Linked DNA regions of Arabidopsis thaliana. The protein of the gene in region 1 interacts with the protein of each later gene in a pairwise test. Each region holds a gene or a part of one and is shown on either strand. Other genes may lie near its edges.

Region 1 (5,872 bases):
CAAATGTTGGTTGTCCGCGTTGATAAACTTGGACCATGGTTTGGGGACATGTCTACAAATAAGAGTGACTTCAGGTTTTAACTCATTGGTATAAAATTAACTGAGCCAGAGTTGAGAACAGCAACAATTTTGACTTTTAAAGACAGAGAGATTCAGGGATGGAATAAAACCTTCCAACAAGTGCTTCCAGTTGAGGGTCAAGATCTAGCTGATATTTGTTTAGGTAATGATCTAACTCATTGGTTCCCAACACCTATGCACACGTTTCAATCAGAAATCATATACATGGATTTAAGTTTACAATGTAATTTTATGCCAATAAGTCATAGACTAGCAATATACCTTGGCAATTTTGACAAGTTGATCATGATTATCATGGCCATAAAAGAACGGTTCCTTACGGAATATCTGCAGCATCAATATTTGACAAGTGAATAAGCAACAGCAAAGTATTAACGACTACCATTCGGAAATTCAAATGCTTGCAATAGCTTCAGCATTGAAGCTAGAGAGAAGAGTGAGGGGATTATTAGTTCTCACCATGCCAGCAAACATGCAACCAAGACTCCACATGTCTAAAGAATAGTCATAATCCTGTAGATCAACTAAAAGCTCGGGACCCTTGAAGTATCTGGCAATTAATTCACAGGTTTTTAGTCTAATGCATTTAACAACTACAAGAAGCTTTGATTGCACAGCTAAAAGTTTCAATCATTGGCATCTACGAATGACCCTCTTAGGCTTGCCAAGACAGGTGGAATTAAGCTGTGGTATCGGATATTACCTCGAGGCCACGCGAACATTATACTCTTTTCCGGGATGGTAAAACTCAGCAAGGCCCCAATCTATCAGACGAAGTTTACGCAGCTGATGATCTATCATGACATTATGAGGCTTAACATCCCTATGCATTATTCCTTGAGAGTGACAGAAATCCAATGCCTGAAATGCAATAACATCAGCTCTGGATTCCACGATAAACATTTGTATGTACGGTAAAAGTCATTTATGGTAAATACCGATACATTACCTTCAGAAGCTCATAAATATAGTACCGGATATCGTAATCAGTCAATGTTGGATACAATACTTTAAAGTCCACACTGTTGACAAACTCAAATACCAAGCTAGGTGTTTTGGAGTGCTCATCTCTAACAATATCATACAGCTTAACAATATTTGGTCCACCACATAGGTTCTGAAGTATTTTGATCTCTCTCTTTATCTGCATAACATCAAGTTTCAGCAAAATTAGCCATCTTTATGTATGCAAATTCATCAGAAATGAGTTCTACTAACTGATCACCTTCTTCTTTTTTACGGGTTTGAGGATCTTGATAACGCAACGCTCATTCGTATTGACGTTTTTGCCTTCGAAAACTTCACTGTATTTTCCTCTACCAACTTTTCTCACAACCTCATAATCATCTTGATGACTGAAGAATCACACAAAAGTATTTAAGAATCTCACACTGTTGAATTTCAAAATCCAATATTTGCTAATAGATACTTAAAACAAAGTGTCTTCAAGAGACCTAAGTCCAAACCCTAAAAAATTCCAATTTCTCTGATTTCGAATTCGATTTGGCAACAAATCAATCAAATTCCACCGAAAATTTATCAAAAAGAAGTCAAAAATCGTAAATTCATCAAAGAAAAATTCTAAAGCTAGAAGTTTTACCCCCATTGAACAACGAGAGACTCGTAGTCCCAATACTCTTTAGGACGAACAACGTTAACATCTGTATAAACCCTAGCTTTCGACATCAATTTCGATCTGAAAAAATGGAGAAATTTGCGATCGCAATCTTCTCTTTGATCGTCAGGTTTGTTTCAAGTGGACGATGATGATGACAACAGAAGAAGTGCGTTGTGCAGGATTAGAAAAAGGTTGAAGAAGAATCTCTGATACCCAAAAACCACCTAAACCAAATCGAACCGATTCAACCACACTCGAACCGAAACAAACCCAATCGGATCGATTTCAATCACACTATAACCGGACCGAATTGTTTAAACGACATCGTTTCGAAGAGAAGCCAAAGAAAAAGAAAGGAGAGAAATAAAGCAAATTCGTTACCTTCACTTTTCATTTTCTGAATAAGAGTTAAAAAAAGACATTAATGGCCTTAAGGCCTTGTACTGGATTCACAATCTCCTCTCTTCGCAACGCTTCCGCCGCCAACAACAATCTCTTCTCTCTCCTCTCCTTCTCTTCGTCGTCTCCGGCGAAGAGGAATCTTCTTCTCTCTTCGCTCCAGGACAATCTCCGTCGTTTCGCATCCAGCGCTTCTCTTTACCGTCAACATCTCCGGAATCAACAACAACAACATCAGCAACAACAGCAATCGCGCGTGAAAGAAAAATCAGAAACGCTGGCTCAGAAGATCGGTAAATCTATCCGGCGTGCCGGTGCGCCGTCGAAAGCTAGGGTTTACGCTGATGTCAACGTTGTTAGACCTAAGGACTATTGGGATTACGAGTCCCTTGCTGTTCAATGGGGGTATATCTTCAGATTCTTCTCTAATTAAACCTAATTACGTCGATTTCTAGATGTTTGCCTTTGGTTATAGATTGGTTTGGGATTGGTTGTTCTGGAATCAATGTGGAATGTAGATTTAGGGTTTCGTTTCATATTTTTGATTGATGATATAATCTCGTAAGTAATGCAGAATTGGTATCTGATTTGTTTGTATTGGTATCTGTTTTGTTTGTATATAATCTCTTGAAAATTGCTGGTCTATGTGAACTAGATTGTTGAATTGATATCTTGAGTTTGTATGGTGTTGTTACTGTTTGGTGTATTAGTGTTTGAGTTAGCTTCATTGATGCCGCAGTGTACAGGATGATTATGAGGTGGTGAGGAAGGTAGGAAGGGGAAAATACAGTGAGGTCTTTGAAGGCATTCATGCTACTGATAACGAGAAATGTGTTATCAAGATTTTGAAGCCTGTGAAGAAGAAGAAGGTGAGTAGATACAGCCGCTTGCTTGTTTTTATCTCAATTGTGCTCAGAATGAAGTGTGTTTCTGGCCCTTCACTTGGTTTGAATTATTCTCTAACATATTTTGCTTCTCCTTGACGCAGATTAAGAGAGAGATTAAGATTCTGCAGAACCTCTGCGGTGGGCCTAATATTGTAAAATTGCTCGACATTGTTAGAGATCAGCAGTCTAAGACGCCCAGCTTGATATTTGAACATGTGAACAATAAAGATTTCAAAGTTCTCTATCCAACTCTCTCAGACTATGATGTTCGATATTACATTTTTGAACTTCTAAAGGTAATTATTCAGTTTCCTGAATTGTAGACCATGATTTTCTTTGCGGCTTTGGCAATTGGCAAAAGTAATCGGTAGATATATCATAGATGTATAGCGTCATACACTGTTGTTTACCTTACTTGACTTTTGAATCCACTAGCCTTCAGTTATAAAGGGTACGAATTTGTTTCTGATGCTGTTTGTTGTTTCTTTTTAACATTTATGCAGGCGTTGGATTTCTGCCATTCACGTGGAATCATGCACAGAGATGTGAAACCACATAATGTCATGATTGATCACGAGCAGCGAAAACTTCGTTTAATTGACTGGGGTTTGGCAGAATTCTATCATCCTGGGAAAGAATACAATGTCCGTGTTGCTTCAAGGTAGTTCCTTTTGGCTATCTGCTAATCTCTCCTCTGCAAGATTCTATTTGTTGCAGTTGCTAAATTTCTGCTCATAGAGAGTCTAGATAAGAAATGTTGAAGATTGCATGCATTGAGCTCTTGAGATTAGTTGAAACATATTATCTAACTTCGTCTAGCTGATGTATACTATTATCATTTCTCACTTCATATTTGATGAGCAGGTACTTTAAGGGTCCAGAGCTGCTGGTGGATTTACAGGACTATGATTATTCCTTAGACCTATGGAGTCTTGGGTGTATGTTTGCTGGAATGGTAAGCGTTTTAAGCTAGAATTTAGTTAACTTGGTTTAAGCTGTAATGGAATGACAAGAATTCGACAGTACATTTTGGTTATTTTACCATTCCTTAAGTTAGTTAAGTGGTGAATATTGTATACTCTACTGTTTGCAGATATTCCGCAAGGAGCCGTTCTTTTATGGCCATGACAACTATGATCAATTGGTCAAAATTGCGAAGGTAACATTACAAAAGCTTTCATCATGTCTCGTCTCCTCTGAACAGATTTTACATTCCTCCAAGTTATAGCTAAAAATACGATTCTATGTATTTATAACTATGGCAGGTGCTTGGCACAGATGAACTCAACGCCTACCTAAACAAATACCGTATAGAGTTGGACCCTAATCTAACATCCCTCGTGGGCAGGTAATCCGGTTTAAAAAGTTATGAAAAACTCTAAAAACTCCAGTTTTGCGCCTTATCATTTCAGAACATTAAATTATGCACTCTTGATTTTATATAGACATAGCCGGAAGCCATGGACAAAGTTCATCAATTCTGAAAACCAGCACTTAGCAGTTCCTGAGGTACAACACTTAACTTTTCTCTATACAATTATGAAGCCTTCATGTTAAGACCAAAACACCGGATTTTTTGGACGAACATGACTCATTTGTTTTCATATACTTTTTGGTTAATGAAGGCTGTTGATTTTGTGGACAAGTTGCTGAGATATGATCACCAAGAAAGGCCAACAGCTAAAGAAGCAATGGTAAGCAACAATTTTTCTTTAATATCTTTCTAAAGATTTTCTCTTATAATTACAGATAAGTGATAGTAGAGAATATGATGGATTTTTACAGGCGCATCCATATTTCTATCCGATTAGAAATGCAGAGAGCAGCCGTACGCCGCGCAGCCAGTGATCTCGAAAACATTTGCTTGTTCAATCTTCTGATTTTTCATTTCTTTACGGATTCAAATTTGTTATAAATCGATCTGTCATTGTTTCATTCTCTCAAGTGTGCGTGTGTTACTGTTTTGCTCTTTCTCAGTGTTTCATTCAACTCATTTGAATTTTATTATATAAAAAAAAATATCCACAAGACGGGTTTCAAAAGGTTTTTCTTTCTTTTCTTCTCATTTTTAATTTTCTGGAAAATTTCATATTCTTGAGCGGGACAGGTTGGTTTGGCTTGCCGGTTTTAGTTAGCCCGTTTTGACAGCTCCGTGGAAGGTAGAAGAAGCTCGCATCGGGAGTAGAGAGTGATGGTCGGTCAGTTAGATATATAACTGTAGACATAAGAAAGCACAAGAATCTCTAATCTAATCCAAATAGTGATTAGGGGACATTAAGCACGTAATCCGATCTTGAGTACTGTGTCTGTGGAACAACCTCGACCTATCTGTCTTATATCTTTTAAGTTTAGTTTAATCTCTCTGGTTCCCTTTGTCCAAATGATTATGCAATCATCCTATATTAGTTTACAATATAGCTGTCTGTCTCTTTCTTTCTTGTTGAAAATGATGCCTTAAAAAAATTACTCATCTCTTAAAATTTTGTGAATTACGCACACGCAAAGATATTGCTGTGTCTAAAACATATGAAACCAAATATGGAAATATATAACTAATAATTGTGCAAGATTTTCAGTATATATATGCATCCATGATCCATCAATCAGTTATTTTTTTCAAATTATTGGAGAAAATCATCCACCAAAAGAGAAATAAATATTTACTTTGGAAACGATTAAAAACGTTTGATAACCGGTGTGCAGTCTTGTGAATTAAGATTATCTTTTGAGTTTTGACACCTTAATCCAAAGTGAGATTTCACGCGTATGAGTAAATGAGATTATTGAATGATGTATTCTGTTGGAATGCTTTAGATAATCAGTTTCGTGTGATAAAGATTTTCTCATTCTGGCCAAAAAAAAATAAAAAAGATTTTTCTGTTTTTCA
Region 2 (5,436 bases), on another chromosome or scaffold:
TTTTCAAAATTGTAGTAGAGTCTTTTACTGTTTTAATTTGTCATATTCTTTGCTACAAAACAAGCAAAAAATATACAATAAATAAACCCAAGAATTTGCAAGATCTTTCCGAAAATAACGGAAGAAGATAAGATGGTGCTAAAAGAAAGCAACATAATCAAGATACATATTTGTTACTTTAACAGTGAAAGAAATTTTATTTCTTACCTTAGAATTGTATGAATGGAAAAGATTTGGACTTTTGGTTAACCAAAAACTTTATTTTCTGGAAAATTGTGTATTAAATAGAGAGGTTGGAAGTGATGAAAAAAAAAATAAAAAAAAATAGAGAGGTTGGAAGAATTGTATGGCATTGCTATATTTTGAGTGATTTAAAGCCAATGAAAGTTTGACTATGTCCATTGATAAATAGAGTTGCCAAACTCTATAATAAGGAAAATGTAGATTTCGTACCAAACTGAAGAGTCCACTTTCTTTAATAAGAGGTCCCCCACGTGAGAAGTTTAGAAGATGATACGGTAAAAAGGCATTTGAAGGTAAAAGAAGATTGAAAAACAATTGCAATCAATTTTGTTCAAGTCTTCCTATATCACTTACATAAGAATAGAGCTATATATTTACGTTACAAAGTCCACATATGTAGACATGACTCTTTTGGGTTTATGTACATATTAAGGTGTTATTACACATCGATCAACATATCACAAAATAGACTATACATTGGCTTCACCACAAATCGGACTCGAGACTAAAAAGATTCACAAAGAGATGGAAATGAAAACCTATGCTTCATTGGCTTCAGATACTGCTGCAGGGAAGGCAGGCAGCCAGAGCTCTACACGAGTACCGCCAGCTCCTAAGGCTGCATCGGAGCTGCGAGGTGATATAACCCTGATCACGCATCCGTAACTCTCCAGGATCTCTCGGGCTACGGTTAAACCAGCCACAAAGTTCCATGTCATATTGTCTTCAACCATGTTTTCCGACAGGAGTTCTGCTCCAAATGGTGTTAGCGAATGCATTTGCGTCTGCATTGATGTAACAAATTTATGTTAAAAAGCAATATGATTCTCATATTAAACTGGTTAAGCCCTCAGACTTAAATACAGGAAGTAAAAAGCAGCAGAATATAAGTTCGGTCTTGATTACCATATAGCGCATATCAGGACCATCATCATCAATTACTACAAGACTACCGCCAGCAGGAGCTCTGGTCGACAAAATTTCAACTTTCCCCCCAACATGAGTGCGCAACAATGCACCTTCGATGAGGTTGCTCAGAGCTTGCCTCAAAGCTGGTTCTTCAACAGCAACTTGCAGGGAAGCTGAGTTCTCACCTAGCTCCACTACTCTTTGCTGAGTAAGTGCTAGTGGTCTCACAGTCTCGACCATATCTAAAAGCACATTAGAAATGTCGCATGGTCTTCCTGACATAAATGAAAGAGATAAGCCCTCCCAACACTTTGTTTCAAGTGAAGAGTTTTGTGGCAAGACGTTAAGTTAATTGCTCAGAAACTTGTACCTTATACTGTGCATTTGTAGGGGTGCCAGGGCAAGAGGTGGCATAGGCATTTCTGAATCATCTAATCCAGAACCCAAGGAAAGGCGTGTACTTGAGATTTGTGAGCCATCAATGGGGTCCTTATGTTCATACTTTGATCTCCTTGTTTCATTGTGTGTTTTATTTATCTTCTTTAGGGCTTCTTCGTTGTGGCGCACTATATTAGCCTGAAAATGAAATGCTTGTAAGAAATACAAACCGAAAAATCAAATTCGAGTATGGTTTGACAGATTTCCCATGCGCAACACATCTAAAGACAGATTTATAAAGACAACTGAAAATAGAGTGATGACTCTCTCAAGAACCAAAAGGGACAAAGTAAAAGAAGGTGTAACCTTTGTCAAGTGAACTGCATCCTGAAGTTCTTCAAGGGTATCCTTTATTTGATCACCTTGAACTATTAAGTCTTCCACAATATCATGTGAAATCTACAATGTACAAAAACCCAAGTCAGTCCGATAACTGCAAGACTCAGGGAGAATAACATTTCCGGCTACAAATGCTAATTGCAAGGACCTGATTTCTCTTAGTGTGAGTTGAAAGCATTTTACTTAAAGTCCTCATGGTAGAGAGCGGACCACGGATCTGCCAATACGCAAGAAAGAAAAATGCGTAATATAAACTAAAAGGAGACATTAATTAACATAAGATCTATGTGTACTAAGTTAACAAGTGCGTGGCTTGTACCTGCTCCACTAGCTTACTCATCCTCACATTGTTTTGCCAAGATGACTGTTGAAGTAACATTGTTTTCTATACATACCCAATAATAAAAAAAAAGATCAATAAGGATTAAAGCCAACAAAGACGGTCAAGCAAAAACATAAGAACAAAGGAAAAGACAGGATATAAGAACAACCTGATCCATGACATAAGCCATAGCGAGAGTCCGAGAAATATTAATCGCATACGATCTCTGCTCTTCAGTGAAAACCTTAACAGAAGGAAGTTTAACTCTAGGTGATTTTGTATTAGCTGAAGCAGGCAAAGCATAAGCTTCCTCAGGGGAAAGAAACTGATTTACACCATGCGGTTTTTCCTCTTCCTCCTCCTCCTCCTCCTCCTCGGCTTCTACTGGTAACTCAGCAACCAAGAAACCGACAACAAACGGGTGTTTCACCATTGGAAACACAGCAGCTCTATGTTTACTCACAAGTTCTACCTATCATCCACATATTATGTCAACAAAAAAACCATAAGTAAACTTGAGTTTAACGCAGAGGAAGAAGAACACATACTTGTTGACTAGAAAGTGATGCTTCAGCTGCTCGTAGACCCGCAGGGATACCAAAGTTTCCAACTAAGATCACAACGTCTCCAGCATTAACACTTGGATAACAAGTGACACGACGCAACTCTAATCGATCCATCACATAGCTACCAGCTGGTCTTACATATATCTAAACCAAAACCAACATAAAAATTCAACCTTTAATCTAACAACACTCTATTTTCAAGCAACAATGATGTAAAAAAGCAGAGACGCACCGAGAGTACTGCGTTTGGATCAACGATTTGACGAAAGAGATCTAATTGCTCAAGACAAAGCCGTTGAAAATCAGGACTTGGCAAGATAATCTTAGTCTTGAGATGGTCTTTCTCAATCATCTGTGTGAACTCTACAGGAGTTGTTGAAGCTCCACGAATCGCGGAAGCTATAGCGGAAGCAGAAGCAACCATGGTCTCTCCTCCTCCGGGTTCTGATTCTTCATTAGATACAGTGTGGTTTACGTAACGGAGACCGCGTGTAAATATAGAAGACGACGACGAGGAGGAGGAAGAAGAAGAGGCATTGAGGAGCTTAAGGGAGGGATTAGAAGGTCTAGGGTTTGGAATAGAATTGGAGAAGTGTAGATTAGGGTTTGATGAGAGAAGGGTCTGAGAAGCGATTGCAGAAAGAAGCATCACTACGGAAGACGACAGTGGAGTCTTTACTTTGTGGCTGAGACTGAAACTCTCGCGAGGAAGACGATCGATATACGATTATAGTTTACACACAAAACAACTACAACTAAACGGCATCGTATTAACAGACTTGTAATTATAGTTTACACAAAAAACAACTACAATTAAACGGCACCGTATTAACAGACTTGTAACAGTTTCAGATGAGAGGAATGTAAAACGGCGACGTTTTGCCATCTGATACATTAACCTCTAAGAAGAACATTCAGTTGTTTTTAAATTATTGTAAAGTTTTTACGACGTTTAAACATTTTCACAAAGTTTCGATAATTTATGTTAAGCATCACTTCGAAAGTTGTGATGACTGGTGAACAGAATTCACTGGGAAAAAAATATTAGTAGGGCATTAACAATACATTTCTATTAACAACTAGGGGTATTTTTCTTAAATTTTCATGTTTCTACTAATGTTTAAACACACGTTCTTCCAAACTTGTAGAATGGTAACACATCTATTAAAGTAAGAAAACACTATGTTGTTCCCCATAGCTAAAAGAGGCCAAGAAAATGTTAGATGGTCAATCAGTGAGCTTACTATTAATCATATTTATGTAGCCATAGCCAATCAAACGAAGCAAAGCCCTTTTCAACCAGTTGAACAAATCCAAACAAGCATGTTTCAACCATTTTGGAATCCAAACAATCATCTCTACGAACGAAACCACACAACAATCTCACAACCCTGTTTCATTAATGTTGCGATAATCGTGAGAGTGTATACACGACAACTCATGCAAAAAAAGATAAAAGAAGATTTGAGAAAAAAAACGTGATAGAAAATAGAGACAACAAATTAAAAAAACTAGATATCTACAACGAAAATAAAATAAAATATGAAAATGGAAAGCTACCATATAAACTTAAAAAGAAAGAAATAAGAAGAGAATCCTCCAAAGAAAGAAAGCATATTTGTATGATGGTAAACTTACAAGTATTTTCGTAAACATATTCAAAATGTATTGATTTATAACTAACCCTATCTCAATAAAAACATATCACAAATCTCTGATTTTTGTGTTTTGCCAACCTTCTTTCTTTTTCTGGTAGGGGTAACGTTTCTCTTCTTTTGAGGATAAAAGTCCCGTGATTGAGTTTTGGTCTCTTTACATCTTTAGCTTTACCAATGAATCCAATCCTATCTTCTTTGTTTGCTCTCTCTTTGCTTTCTTCACTATCACCATCAACACATGCCCATCAATGCCATTTCCCAGCAATCTTTAACTTTGGTGACTCTAACTCCGATACCGGCGGTCTCTCCGCTGCTTTTGGCCAAGCTGGTCCTCCTCACGGCTCTTCCTTCTTCGGCTCACCCGCGGGACGATACTGCGATGGTCGCCTCGTCATTGACTTCATAGGTACACTAACTCTTCCCTATCCAAAACGTTTGCGTTTTTTGTTTTTGCTGATTTTGCTTCTGTTTTGAACATAGCGGAGAGTCTTGGATTACCATATCTAAGCGCGTTTCTAGACTCCGTTGGTTCAAACTTCAGCCACGGCGCTAACTTCGCTACCGCGGGATCTCCGATAAGAGCTCTTAACTCTACTCTACGTCAAAGTGGATTCAGCCCATTTTCACTCGATGTACAGTTCGTACAATTCTATAACTTCCACAACAGATCTCAAACTGTTCGTAGTCGTGGAGGAGTCTACAAGACAATGTTGCCTGAATCCGACAGCTTCTCAAAAGCTTTGTACACTTTTGACATTGGTCAGAACGATCTCACAGCAGGTTACTTCGCTAATAAAACCGTAGAACAAGTTGAAACCGAAGTTCCTGAGATCATAAGTCAGTTCATGAATGCTATCAAGGTTGGTCTCTCTGTTTCTGACTCTGATTTTGTTTAAAGGGAAATCATAAAAATGTGTTTTTTCTTTTGGTGATAGAATATTTATGGACAAGGAGGGAGATA

What was found.
Region 2: the proteins of AT2G23070 (region 1) and CSK interact in a two-hybrid assay, tested with the Arabidopsis thaliana proteins (one study listed by BioGRID).

The regions. Positions count from the first base shown.
Region 1 is NC_003071.7:9,823,123-9,828,994, reverse strand, and holds AT2G23070 (Protein kinase superfamily protein), read left to right. Parts: upstream 1-2,096; 5' UTR 2,097-2,123; coding exon 2,124-2,503; intron 2,504-2,837; coding exon 2,838-2,967; intron 2,968-3,086; coding exon 3,087-3,281; intron 3,282-3,488; coding exon 3,489-3,646; intron 3,647-3,849; coding exon 3,850-3,940; intron 3,941-4,078; coding exon 4,079-4,144; intron 4,145-4,250; coding exon 4,251-4,333; intron 4,334-4,430; coding exon 4,431-4,494; intron 4,495-4,610; coding exon 4,611-4,679; intron 4,680-4,770; coding exon 4,771-4,833; 3' UTR 4,834-5,353; downstream 5,354-5,872. Other genes in the region: CKA3 (Protein kinase superfamily protein), read right to left, coding at 1-52, 171-253, 343-408, 541-631, 785-942, 1,031-1,225, 1,307-1,436, 1,682-1,767. UniProt on the Arabidopsis thaliana protein: Casein kinases are operationally defined by their preferential utilization of acidic proteins such as caseins as substrates. The alpha chain contains the catalytic site. Involved in the regulation of various developmental processes.
Region 2 is NC_003070.9:25,432,186-25,437,621, reverse strand, and holds CSK (chloroplast sensor kinase), read right to left. Parts: upstream 3,596-5,436; 5' UTR 3,467-3,595; coding exon 3,050-3,466; intron 2,962-3,049; coding exon 2,800-2,961; intron 2,724-2,799; coding exon 2,421-2,723; intron 2,315-2,420; coding exon 2,249-2,314; intron 2,147-2,248; coding exon 2,078-2,146; intron 1,990-2,077; coding exon 1,897-1,989; intron 1,729-1,896; coding exon 1,523-1,728; intron 1,428-1,522; coding exon of another isoform or gene 1,424-1,427; coding exon 1,150-1,423; intron 1,029-1,149; coding exon 783-1,028; 3' UTR 526-782; downstream 1-525. Other genes in the region: FXG1 (alpha-fucosidase 1), read left to right, coding at 4,650-4,881, 4,956-5,335, 5,411-5,436. UniProt on the Arabidopsis thaliana protein: Sensor kinase that senses the plastoquinone (PQ) redox state involved in stoichiometry adjustment of both photosystems (e.g. long-term adaptation via transcriptional regulation of reaction center genes of photosystems I and II) and state transitions (e.g. short-term adaptation involving reversible post-translational phosphorylation of light-harvesting complex II, LHC II), thus linking photosynthesis with gene expression in chloroplasts.